Sus scrofa: one gene and its partners. The protein of the gene in region 1 purifies or fractionates together with the protein of each later gene. This does not show direct contact. Links are inferred from orthologs where the notes say so. Each region holds a gene or a part of one and is shown in the gene's direction. Other genes may lie near its edges.

Region 1 (3,514 bases):
GAATATCTGATGTTAGCAAATATTGTAAATTATCTCAGTTCTTCCTTAATTTTTTTTTCTTTTTTTTTCCTTTTCCAGGTGTCTACTGATTTGGAGAATATTGACATAGGACTTAATTCTAAACCTAAGAGTCATGTGACTATCAGGAGGGCAGTTTTAGAAGAAATTGGAAATCGAGTTACAACCAGAGCCACCCAGGTAGCTAAGGTAACAGCTGTGAGATCGGTACATGTGCACACTGGGCTGATTCTGTAGAAGACTGAGGGGCAACTCTGGCTGTCTTGCCCTATTCACATTTCTTTTTTCTTTTAGAAAGCTCAGAACATCAAGGTACTTGTCCCGCCCAGCAAAACAACAAATGCCAACAAGCCCTTGAAACCTACTGCTTCTGTGAAACCAGTACAGATGGAAATGTTGGCTCCAAAGGTAGAAGTTCTGAATTTACAAACTTACCTAACAAAGCAGCCTGTTTGGGGCCAGACTACAGGGGGTAACTTTGTGGTCACTGCAACTTTTGAGGAACACTCATAGTTAGGGCTCTACTTTGAGACAGCAGTGTAGAAAATGAACATATACATCTTTTGAGTGATGGTGCTTTAATGCAATGTTGTAACTTTGAATTAAACAGTTAATTACTTTAACAACCAAATAAATTTAGTGACCTCCGAGGAAAATTTAGTAGGTTTTATTAAAATAATTCACTGTAGGAGTTCCCGTCATGGCGCAATGGTTAATGAATCCGACTAGGAACCATGAGGTTGCAGGTTTGATCCCTGGCCTTGCTCAGTGGGTTTAGGATCCGGCATTGCCGTGAGCTGTGGTGCAGGTCGCAGACACGGCTCAGATCCCATGTTGCTGTGGCTGTGGTGTAGGCCGGTGGCTACAGCTCTGATTAGACCCCTAGCCTGGGAACCTCCATATGCCTCAGGAGTGGCCCTAGAAAAGGCAAAAAGACAAAACAAAACAAAACAATTCACTATAAAGGAGTTCCTGTCATGGCTCAGCAGTAACAAACCCAACTAGTATCCATGAGGACATGGGTTCAGTCCCTGGCCCTGCTCAGTGGGTTAAGGATCGGTCATTGCCATGAGCTGTGGTATAGGTCGCAGATGTGGCTTGGATCTGTGTTGTCATGGTTGTGGTATAGGCCAGCAGCTGTAGCTCTGATTAGACCCCTAGCCCAGGAACTTCCATATGCTGAGGGTGTGGCCCCAAAAGACAAAAAAAATAATTATAATTTACTGTTTAAGAATGAACTTGCTGGAGTTCCCATCGTGGCGCAGTGGTTAACGAATCCGACTAGGAACCATGAGGTTGCGGGTTCGATCCCTGGCCTGCTCAGTGAGTTAAGCATCTGGCGTTGCCGTGAGCTGTGGTGTAGGTTGCAGATGCGGCTTGGATCCTGCGTTGCTGTGGCCCTAGTGTAGGCCGGCGGCTACAGCTCCAATTCAACCCCTAGCCTGGGACCCTCCATATGCCGCAGGAGCAGCCCTAGAAAAGGCAAAAAGACAAAAAAAAAGAAAAAGAATGAACTTGCCCATGAAGATGGTGGAGGTTTACAATTCTGAGATTTTCACTCATGTAGGCACAAAGTAATGCCAAAATTCTCTGTTGAAAAACTTTGATTGGTTAAGCTCAATTGAAGTTAGAATGCTAATGGACCCACTGCCCCATTCACTTTCCACCATATTCAAGTTCATGCATGCTCTCATTCATAGATTACATACATTCATATAATTACAACGAAATAGGTACTGTTATAGTTGCTGAGAATACAATATAACTGCCTCTTTCTAGCTCAGAATATTTATATATTTATGTTTGAATTTTTTCAAAATAAAACATTGGATGTTTTCAAAAAATATGTTGAGTACTGACTAGACACATACAGTTGTGTTAAGGCTGATAAAGAGACATCTTACCTTGAGGAGGTTTACCTAGAAGGGGCATCTATACCTGAAAATTAAATATGTAATCCTAGGGCATGATGCTTTGTGCCCATAGGCAATGGATGACTGAATGTAAATTGTATCTAAAGAGAGGAGTGAACCTTGAGGGATGGAGTGGTCTGGGGAAACTTCCTTGAGTAGGTGAATTTTTTTTTTCTTTTTCTAGCCCCACCCATGGCATATGGAAGTTCCTAGATCAAGGATTGAATCTGATCTGCAGCTGCAGCCTATGCCACAGCTGCGGCAATGCTGGGTCCTTAACCTGTTGCGCCACAGTGGGAACTCCAATAAGTGGGATTTTTAAGGATGGAGAGAAGCTGAGAGGAAAGAGCACTTTTAGGGAAACAAAGCAGCAATAGGAATCAAGGCACCAAAGTGGGAACAGGCCTATAAATTATGTCCTTTTGGGCAAAGAGTCAGCAAGTCTAAACTGGATCAGAAGGTTTGTGTGAGAAAAACAAACAACGTTGGAAAGACGGTTGCAGCTGGATTTGAAGGCCTTAGAATTTGAATTTTATCCCATCAGGCAGTAAGGAACTGTGGAAAGTTTTGAGGCTAAGTGGTGAAAGCAGTATGGGGTGGCCATGGAAGGGACATTAATTAGGAGGTATTGCAGTTTTCTAAGCAAGGGCTGATGGGTGTCTTGAATGAGCCCAGATCTCCTAGGTGCTCACACATGTATCCCTATGTGCTCACACATGTATCCCTATGTACATAAGTGCTAAGAAACAACATCTGATGTGTTAGGATAATCCAGAACTCCTCTCAGGGACATCATCCTGTAATGAGAAGGAATTCGTTGTATATTCTGCTTGGAGTGGAGGAGAGAGACCCTTAATTAAGCATTTGAGTATTTAAGAAACTGTTTAGGGAATAAATTAATAAAATATAGGTAATGCAAGAGAGTGAGGTAGCTTTGTGGAAGTCATCTCATTTAGCTTTAGATTTGTTGAAGTAACAGAGATAGCCATTGGGAAATGCAGTTGGCAATGTGCCAGCAAAATCTAACAGAGAGGAACAGATTTGCAAACCTGCTACTTAGAGGCGGTGATTGCAAGCATGTTGCTGTTGATGAGACAGGAAGAAGAAAGCTTTGATTCTAGAACTAAATACTCAAGATCAACCTTCCTAAAGGCCTTTCCTTGGAAGTTTCTCAAGACCTCCTAAATACCAAACCCAGAGCAGCTTTTCAGGCCTTGATCTCCTGGCCATTATGACGGATTGAATGTGATTGCTCCCACATGTCAGAAGGGTGGCTTGGCAGTGTGTTTCAAATGGTTATTCTTTATACCCAGTAAGGCTGTTTTTAAAATTTATCCTAAGAAAATGATCAGTGGGGCAGTCAGGGACTTTTAAGTAGTGCTGTAATGAGTATTTCTTATTCTGTAGTAGGAGATCTGTTACATCCATTTAATGAAATACTATGCAACCATAAATGACATGTTTCAGTAGAATATTTTAAGATGTCAAAATGCATGTTACAATGGTAGAAAAATCAGATTATAACAATATAATGCAGTGCAATACCAGATTTAAAGGTATGCATTTGCATGTAAAATATTGAT
Region 2 (4,107 bases), on another chromosome or scaffold:
CCTGGGAACTTCCATGTGCTGCAGGCGCGGCCCTAAAAAACAAAGCAAAACAAAACAAAAGCTGATAAGAGGATAGAATTCCAGAGAGAGATAAATGCAATGTGAGAGTAAAGCAGGAAAGGCAATGTGATGAAATGGGGAGCTTTCTAGGGAGGGTGGCCTGACCCCCCCTTGATCCTGTTATGTGGATAAAAAGGTTCTCTCTGGTGAAGGAAGAAGCTGTTAGGAATTAGCGTTTGCTCTGGCAGGCCCCTTGCTAAGAACTTTAAGCGGATCATCCCACTTGAACCTCCAGCTCCCTGAGGTAAGCGTCATCAGCTCCATTTTTACCGGAGAGGAGGTTAATCCGAAGCTCGGAAAGGCCCGGTGCATCCCCAAGGTCGTTCGGCCAGGAAGGAGCTGAGGGGAGTTTGCGCTGAGCTTACGTCTCAAATCCAAAGAATGCGAAAAGGCCCCCTCAGAGGTGGCCGAGACCTGGAAACCGGGAGGCTTCCTGCAGAGGCAGAATTTTCTAGTTCACCAAGCTGAGCGTTCCGCGGGTGGGGGGATGTCAGGGGGACAACCCCTCACCGCATCCCCAGAGCCATGCACTGCAGGCGTGAGGAGGGAGCGGCGAGCCCAGGGGACTCCACCTGCAAGAGCCCCGGAGGCCGCGGGGACTTCCTGTCAGGCCCCTAGTGACCGCCTCTTGGGGCTACACCTCCCTCCCGGGCGAAAGGCAGTGACCCTTCCTTTTATAGAGGCGAAAACTAAGGCAGACCAGCGAGGGCCGTGGGTGCCGGGACTGGGGTGTGGAGCTCTGTCGGTGTCCGAAGGTCCCTCGGTGTCCTGGGAACCAGGCGGGAGGGCCCCAGGAGCAGGTTCCGATTCCGCGTGGTGCCTCAGCCCCTCAGGCACACGGCGCAGCCAACCCCGCTCGGAGTCAGCGCCCAGGTGGCTCCGCGCTTGCGCAAGAGCCCCGCGAAGCAGGCGGGGCGGGATCGGCGACGCGCACGCCCGGACGTTGGGGGCGGAGCCCCGGCAGATTGGGCTCCTCTGATAGGCTGTCTCGGAGAGGCGGCGGGGTAAGAGGCGTTCCTGGGCGGGGCCTCGAGGCCGGTTTGGAATTTTTGGCGCGAGCTGGCTCCGCGCGCGTTCACGGGCCGTTCCCCGTCCAGAGAGTCCTCCCCGCCAGTGTGGGGAGCGGTCCACCGAAGACCCCGGCCAGCCTGATCGCTCAGGGGATCCCCGCACCCTCAGCAGACCGGAATCCGGGACCTCGCTGAGCTGCGCCCCGCCCACCCGCCCCAGGTGAGCCCATACCCTGCCCTGACATTTCCAGGGCGGAACAGCTCTCCCCACTCTTCTGCTTCCCTCGCCAGCATCCCCTTGTCCCCTGACAGCCCTTCCCCGGATCTGCCTCAGTCTCAACCCCCTCTCGCCCCCTTGCACATCCCCCTCCGACAGCCCCACCCCTCCCCTTTCTTGCCCTGCCCCTCTGCTAACCTCTCCCTGGCCCAACCCTGCCCCGGGCGGCTCCACCCACTTCCTCTCTCGAGGCTCCTGCCCCCAGACTGCTCTTGTCCTACTCCTTCTGCAGCTTCCCTGACCCCTTTCTTTTGGGACCCCTTGCCCCCAGCGACTGCTCCCCATTGAGTCGTCCCTCTCCAGGAAAACCCCCACAGACCTGTCCCCTGACAGCTGGTCTGCTCCACTCTGTTGGCCAGGGTTTGCGCCCACGGAGGTGACTCAGCTGTGGCCCTGCCCAGGAGGAACTCACAGTCTAGTGCAGTGGACCGTGCTCAGCAGATGTGTCCAGCCCAGTGAGAGGGTGAGGCCCCTGAAAGCTGCAGAGGTCGTCGCGGCCTGGCCTCCGCTCAGGACCACCCTGGATTCACCCGGAGCCCCTGCTCCTTCTACCTCCCCTGTCCCACCCCCAAAGCTGTTTGGCCATGCCAGGGGTGCTAGAACGTAAGTGACAGTGACATTGCGATGTTTTGAGAATTGGTTTAAGATGCGGGTGCCCAAGGTCCCCAAATGTCCTACGTCTGGGCCTGGAGTCTACGCCTAACCAGCACCCTAGGAGATCCTGACACCCTGATCCTTCACTTTGAGAAACTCTGGGATGGCAGAGCAAGGGTCCCCACAGGCTGTAGGGTGAGTCTTAAATGCAGACCTCTATGGGGGGGGGGTCCCCTGCCTCCCCCTCTCACTCTCCCCAGCACTTACCCCCCTGCTGGTTATGGAATCTTTTTTTTTTTTTTTTTTTTGTCTTTATTGCCATTTCTTGGGCTGCTCCCGCGGCATATGGAGGTTCCCAGGCTAGGGGTGGAATTGGAGCCATAGCCGCCGGCCTACGCCAGAGCCACAGCAACGCAGGATCCGAGCCGTGTCTGCAACCTACACCACAGCTCACAGCAACACCGGATTCTTAACCCACTGAGCAAGGGCAGGGATCGAACCTGCAACCTCATGGTTCCTAGTCAGATTCATTAACCACTGAGTCAGGGCTGGAACTCCAGGGTATGGAATCTTTTGATACACTGTGGCTTCCTCTCAAAATTGGACTCCTCTCGCATTTTTTCCCCCTCTTGTTTTTCTTTCAATTATGACATTATAGAAACACAGTAGCCCGCTCTGCCCCAACACAGAGTTGCTTATACCCATGGACCACTGTATTTTGTGTGTTCTTTCAATTACTGCTCAGAGCTTTATGTAACAGTTATTGAGGGGTCTGCATGCCAGGCGCTACACTAAGCCTTCCATGAAGTCGGCATTATAAGTCCACAAATCCCTGAGGCCAGGTGTGTTTTGGAATTCAAAGTGTCTCTGATTTTATTTTATATTTTATGTCTTTTTAGGGCTGCACCCGCGGCATATAGATGTTTCCAGGCTAGGGGTCGAATCGGAGAGGTAGCCCCAGGCCTACACCACGCCACAGCACTGCCAAATCCGAGCCGTGTCTGCAACCTACACCACAGCTCACAGCAACGCCAGATTCTTAACCCACTGAGCAAGGCCAGGGATCGAACATGCAACTTCATCATTCCTAGGCGGGTTCGTTTCCTCTGCGCCACGTCGGGAACTCCTATACTGTCTTCTATATTACATGATTAACTTTACTGGTGCTCTTTCTTTTTCACGTAGATTTGACTTACTCTTTGGGATCACAGGCTTTCAGTCTGAAGGGCTTCCTTTAGTGTTCCTTATAAAACAGGTCTGCTAGCAATGAATTTTTTCTGTTTTTGTTTATCTGCGGATATCTGTTCTCTTTTTTTACCTTTTTTTTAATCTTTTTTTTTTTTTTTTTGTCTTTTTTGTCTTTTGTCTTTTTTTTGTTGTTGTTGTTGTTGTTGTTGTTGCTATTTCTTGGGCCGCTCCCGCGGCATATGGAGGTTCCCAGGCTAGGGGTTGAATCGGAGCTGTAGCCACCGGCCTACGCCAGAGCCACAGCAACGTGGGATCCAAGCCAAGTCTGCAACCTACACCACAGCTCACAGCAACGCCGGATCGTTAACCCACTGAGCAAGGGCAGGGATCGAACCAGCAACCTCATGGTTCCTAGTCGGATTCGTTAACCACTGCACCACGACGGGAACTCCTAATCTTTTTTTTAGGGCAGCACCCGCAGCTTATGGAAGTTCCCAGACTAGGGGTCAAGTCGGAGATACAGCCGCCGGCCTACACCACAGCCACAGACATGTGGGATCCGAGCCACCCACATCTGTGACCTACACCACAGCTCCCAGCAATGCCGGATCCTTAACCCACTGAACAAGGCCAGGGATCGAACTTGCAACCTCATGGCTCCCAGTCAGATTTGTCAACCATTGCGCCACGATGGGAACTCCTGAGAGTGCCTTCAGGCTTGAACTTTTCACACTCTGCTTCTCATCAAGTCAGTGTTTTGCAGGGAGAACTTTGGAGCTCTCTGTTTTATGACCTCTTCCCTGGGCAGGATCCCCAAGCCAGAGTTCTGGAGCGGGGGGCAGGGACAGTGGTGCCTCGGAGTGGAGGCAGTAGCCCCTGGCCTGCCTGGCTTGCCTCGCCCAGGGTGGAACCTTCTCCCTAGGAATGAGCTGAGACTTGAGCCGTGGGGCTTCAGGATTGCCAGCCCACTGGAGCTGC
Region 3 (4,248 bases), on another chromosome or scaffold:
GTGGGCTGGAGAAGTGAATCTGGTGGGAGAGAAAGGTGAAGGAAGGAAGGGGCTGTTGTATTTGGCGGCGGGACTCAGGTAGAGGAAACTGCTACAAGCCGGGAAAGAACTGAAAAATATAAAAGAGGAGACGAGTTCCCACACGCAGACCAAGTCAGTGGCCTTAACAGTGCTTGGGAAGCAAGAACCTGGGCCAGGGGTGTATCCTCGCTTTTTTAAACGAAATGTATCTGAGACAGCTACTAAGTTTATTAGGGACTTGGGAGACCAATAGAGTTTTTGATCTCGAAGCCCTTTTCTTGTTTTTATTGAGGGAGAGCTTGGGTTCAGAATACATTACAAATGCAGCATCTATTCCAGTCTACTTATAGAAAGACGTCCTCCTGGGCTTCCCCCCTAAGCCCCCTGCCTCCCCTAGAACAGCACAGACTTCTAGGTTAAGGGTGAGCTAACCACTGCTCACCCCCAGCTAAGGCACCCAGGCTCAGGGGCTCCCCGCCTCCCCCGCTGAGCGAGCGGTGGGGGCCCCCCCGGGAGAGAGCCCAGCTGGGGGCCGAGCGCCCAGCGGCGAGCCCAGCTGCCCGCCCCTACCCGCTCGGCGAGCGAGGGGAAAATAAGATCGCCCTCGGCGAGGAGAGGGAGGTCGGGGCTCCGGAGCGGAGCGCAGCGCAGGGACCAGAACCCGCCACCTCTCCGGCCAGGCCCCTCCCCGGCTCCCCGGCCTTTTGGCGAGTTTGTCTTATTTTTAATTTCTCCGAGGCCAGCCAGAGCAGGTTTGCTGGCAGCCCGGCACCTCCAGCAGTCACGCGACCAGTCGAGCTCCCGGCCGCGCGCTCGGCGGCGGCGCGCTCGGGAGGCGGGGAGGCGCAGCGGCGGCTCAGGGGCCACCTTAAGGCCCAGCTCGCCAGTCTCGGCTGGGCGGCTCCCGGCGCCGCGACCAATGATCTCCTCCTCTGTTTAAATAGACTTGCGGTGTCAATCATCTTCTTCTTCGTCAGCCTCCCTTCCACCGCCATATTGGGCAACTAAAAAAAGGGGGCTCGTCTTTTCGGGGTGTTTTTCTCCCCCTCCCCTGTCCCCACTTTCTCGCCGCTCCGCGACTCCGACGCCGGCAAGGTTTGGAGAGCCGCTCGGTCGGCGGGACCCGCGGGCTCGCAGCGGCGGGGACTCGGACTGGCTCTGCCCCCTCCTCTCTCCGCTGCGCTCCTCTCCCCTCCCCTCCCCGCCCTCCAGCTCGCCCGTACACTTGATCGGCGGAGACTCGGGGCTGCCTGGCCCGGGCTGCCCCTCGCCCCCTCCCCCAGCCCCAGCGCGCTCCTGACGCTCGGGCGCTTACTCGTCGGTGTTTGTTTCTCTTGGCTCGGAGGGCAGCCGCAGGGCTTATAAGAGGGGCTCGGGCTGGGTCGAGGCGTTTTGTTTTGTTCGGTTTTGTTTTGCGAGAGCGCGAGAGAGGCGGTCGCCGAGCCCCGGGAGGAAGATGTCAAACGTGAGAGTGTCTAACGGGAGCCCGAGCCTGGAGCGGATGGACGCCAGACAGGCGGAGTACCCCAAGCCCTCGGCCTGCCGAAACCTCTTCGGCCCGGTCAATCACGAAGAGTTAACCCGGGACTTGGAGAAGCACTGCAGAGACATGGAAGAGGCCAGCCAGCGCAAGTGGAATTTTGATTTTCAGAATCACAAGCCCCTGGAGGGCAAATACGAGTGGCAGGAGGTGGAAAAGGGCAGCTTGCCCGAGTTCTACTACAGACCCCCGCGGCCACCCAAAGGCGCCTGCAAGGTGCCGGCGCAGGAGGGCCAGGGTGTCAGCGGGACCCGCCAGGCGGTGCCTTTAATTGGGTCTCAGGCCAACTCAGAGGACACACATTTGGTAGACCAAAAGACTGATGCACCGGACAGCCAGACGGGGTTAGCGGAGCAGTGCACTGGGATAAGGAAGCGACCTGCCACAGACGGTAATGACCCTTTCGAATGCATGAAACGTCTGTTTGTCTGCCTCTCTCTGTTTGTCTGCCGTGCTGTTTTCCCTGCTTGAGGATCTTAAACCTCCGCTTTCTTTTCAGCGCATTCTGACTTAGCTCTTGGGGAACACACCTTCCTCATCTTAGGTTTTAAATGCTATTTGGCTAGCTGCTGGTCTGTTTATGACTTTTAAGTCTGAAGCATGAGACTGTGCTATCTGATAATTTCTCTAACTGAAAACATCGCGGCTCCTCCCCGCTAGCCAGCTGTAGGTATGTGACAACGTTGGGATGTTTATCAACCACCTCCCTCTTCGCTTTGGAGAGAGAGAGATTTGGGGCGTAGAATACACTTTCTGTTATGTGAAAACAACCTCATTTTGTGCCCTTAAAGGCCACTGGGAATGACGGATCCAGGATGGTGGGTGGAGGTGGTGGGTTTTTTGTCCCCTCAGTATCGAGCCAACTTGTGTCAGCCATTGTTTTTTCTAATAAAGATTATTTGTGTGTGTTCTTTTTAAAATTCCCTCCTGCCTTTAGATTCCTCTCCTCAAAACAAAAGAGCCAACAGAACAGAAGAAAATGTTTCAGACGGTTCCCCGAACTCGGCTTCAGTGGAGCAGACGCCCAAGAAGCCCGGCCTCAGAAGGCGTCAAACGTAAACTGCTCGGTGGGTTGATCACTGGAAGCAAATAAGTGACACCCGATTTGGGCTGAAGGAACTCATGGGTTTTCAAACACCAAGATACCCGATCTTAGTGGTGTCTGGCAGATTAGAGCTTGTGGGGTTTTGTTTGTATTTTATGAGGTCCAAAAAAAGGAGGAATGGGAAAGACTGGGCATCAGGGTGGGGGTACTATAATTCTTCCCAGTTTCTCTGTCCTGAGATCATTTTCCTTTGAAGCTCCCAATGATTAGAGCAAGTGTCCCAGGCAAATACTTGCAACCAAGGCCCTGTGGGTAGGAAGGTCAGTTCCCTGAGAGTCCCATCAAAACGGTGTTGGGAACAATAGGTTCTTTTTCCATCTGAACAAGAGCGGGGGTCTGCCTCCATCCCACTTCAGGAGAATTCATCTCCCAGAGGACCAAGCTGACTCTAACAGATTTTGAGCCATACATGGAAAAAAATGGCAAATAAATGATCCAGTTAAAACTTTGAGGGAAAAGTTAGGTACAAATGGCTCATATCTGGTTAATCACATGGTTAGAAATGTGAATAGAGAGGAGTGTGGCTTTCTTTTATCTATCGTTTTCACAAAGTGTCACTTGCCCTGTTTTCTGATCAGTGTGGGGGATGGAGAAGGAACCTGTGTATTTAAAAAAAACCAAAATGGAAGGCTCAAAAACGCTAAGGTTCCTATGGAATTTCTGATAACACTGAAGTTACAAAGCAGAAGTTAAGTAACTCTGCCAGAGTAAGCAATCCAGGAACACGTCAGCATGTGTATGCTAATCGTGCTATAACAGGATAATTTGGATATTTGTAGGGGAAATGGATAGTAGATACCAGGGCTGCCACTGGTTAGGGCTACCCCGAACAAGGCAAGTGGACATTTTTCCACCTACTAAAATCTGATCAATGTAAAAAACTAATTTGCATAATTCAGCCCCCCAGCTTTACATGGATTGGTTTCCATAATGATCAAACTACATATATTAGTTAATAGTTTGTACACTCCTTACAGACAATGACCGTGACCTCTTTTTTTTCCCCTCCACAAACACCCTCATAGCTTAGCATTTAAAGAGATCCTAAGAGATGTTGACATTAACTTTCAAAATCCTCATTTATAAAAATTTTAAAATAAAGAACAGGGATGAAGGTAGGGTTCAAGTTTGTTGTGTTTTTACATCAGTGTCACAGGTAGGACTTTATTACATACGTCTGATATCTTTCAGAGCTTATACAACACGGCACTATCGAACCCTACGTTATAGCTGTATATGAAGTGAAAAAAATTTCTGAGTCAACCTTAACACCTGTGGCTCTTGTTGGTTGGTGACTCGTGGCCTAGCTCATCAGATGAGCCACAGCAAATCAGACCTACTGGATTTTGATCTGGCCGCATTCTGACATACAGAGAGGCATTTGTTAGTAAATATTGCCAGTTCAGCGAATACAGGAAATAGTAGTAAGGACCTCTTCTCAAGCATTCATGTGTGTATACTCTTCATACGACTGAGAAACTAGTTTTTTTTTTGGGGGGGGTGAATAGAATTTTCTTTGGTGAGCTTTTCTATTTCCAGTTATTTTTCAAATTTAGAAAATTTTGCTACTCTTAAGTGTTAA

What was found.
Region 2: the proteins of CCNB2 (region 1) and PKMYT1 purify together in Homo sapiens (affinity purification with mass spectrometry; 4 studies listed by BioGRID and IntAct, with this or other methods). This does not show direct contact. The link is inferred for Sus scrofa from reciprocal best matches to the Homo sapiens genes CCNB2 and PKMYT1.
Region 3: the proteins of CCNB2 (region 1) and CDKN1B purify together in Homo sapiens (affinity purification with mass spectrometry; 3 studies listed by BioGRID and IntAct, with this or other methods). This does not show direct contact. The link is inferred for Sus scrofa from reciprocal best matches to the Homo sapiens genes CCNB2 and CDKN1B.

The regions. Positions count from the first base shown.
Region 1 is NC_010443.5:112,935,572-112,939,085, reverse strand, and holds part of CCNB2 (G2/mitotic-specific cyclin-B2), read left to right. Parts: intron 1-78; coding exon 79-207; intron 208-312; coding exon 313-426; intron 427-3,514. UniProt on the Homo sapiens protein: Essential for the control of the cell cycle at the G2/M (mitosis) transition.
Region 2 is NC_010445.4:39,200,745-39,204,851, forward strand, and holds the start of PKMYT1 (membrane-associated tyrosine- and threonine-specific cdc2-inhibitory kinase), read left to right. Parts: upstream 1-1,303; intron 1,304-1,612; coding exon of another isoform or gene 1,613-1,632; intron 1,633-1,706; 5' UTR 1,707-1,931; coding exon 1,932-1,950; exon of another isoform or gene 1,951-2,136; intron 2,137-4,107. Other genes in the region: uncharacterized protein LOC110260113, read right to left, coding at 223-493, 761-1,303, 1,613-1,632. UniProt on the Homo sapiens protein: Acts as a negative regulator of entry into mitosis (G2 to M transition) by phosphorylation of the CDK1 kinase specifically when CDK1 is complexed to cyclins. Mediates phosphorylation of CDK1 predominantly on 'Thr-14'. Also involved in Golgi fragmentation.
Region 3 is NC_010447.5:59,733,019-59,737,266, reverse strand, and holds the start of CDKN1B (cyclin-dependent kinase inhibitor 1B), read left to right. Parts: upstream 1-1,435; 5' UTR 1,436-1,477; coding exon 1,478-1,952; intron 1,953-2,498; coding exon 2,499-2,620; 3' UTR 2,621-2,628; intron 2,629-4,248. UniProt on the Homo sapiens protein: Important regulator of cell cycle progression. Inhibits the kinase activity of CDK2 bound to cyclin A, but has little inhibitory activity on CDK2 bound to SPDYA. Involved in G1 arrest. Potent inhibitor of cyclin E- and cyclin A-CDK2 complexes.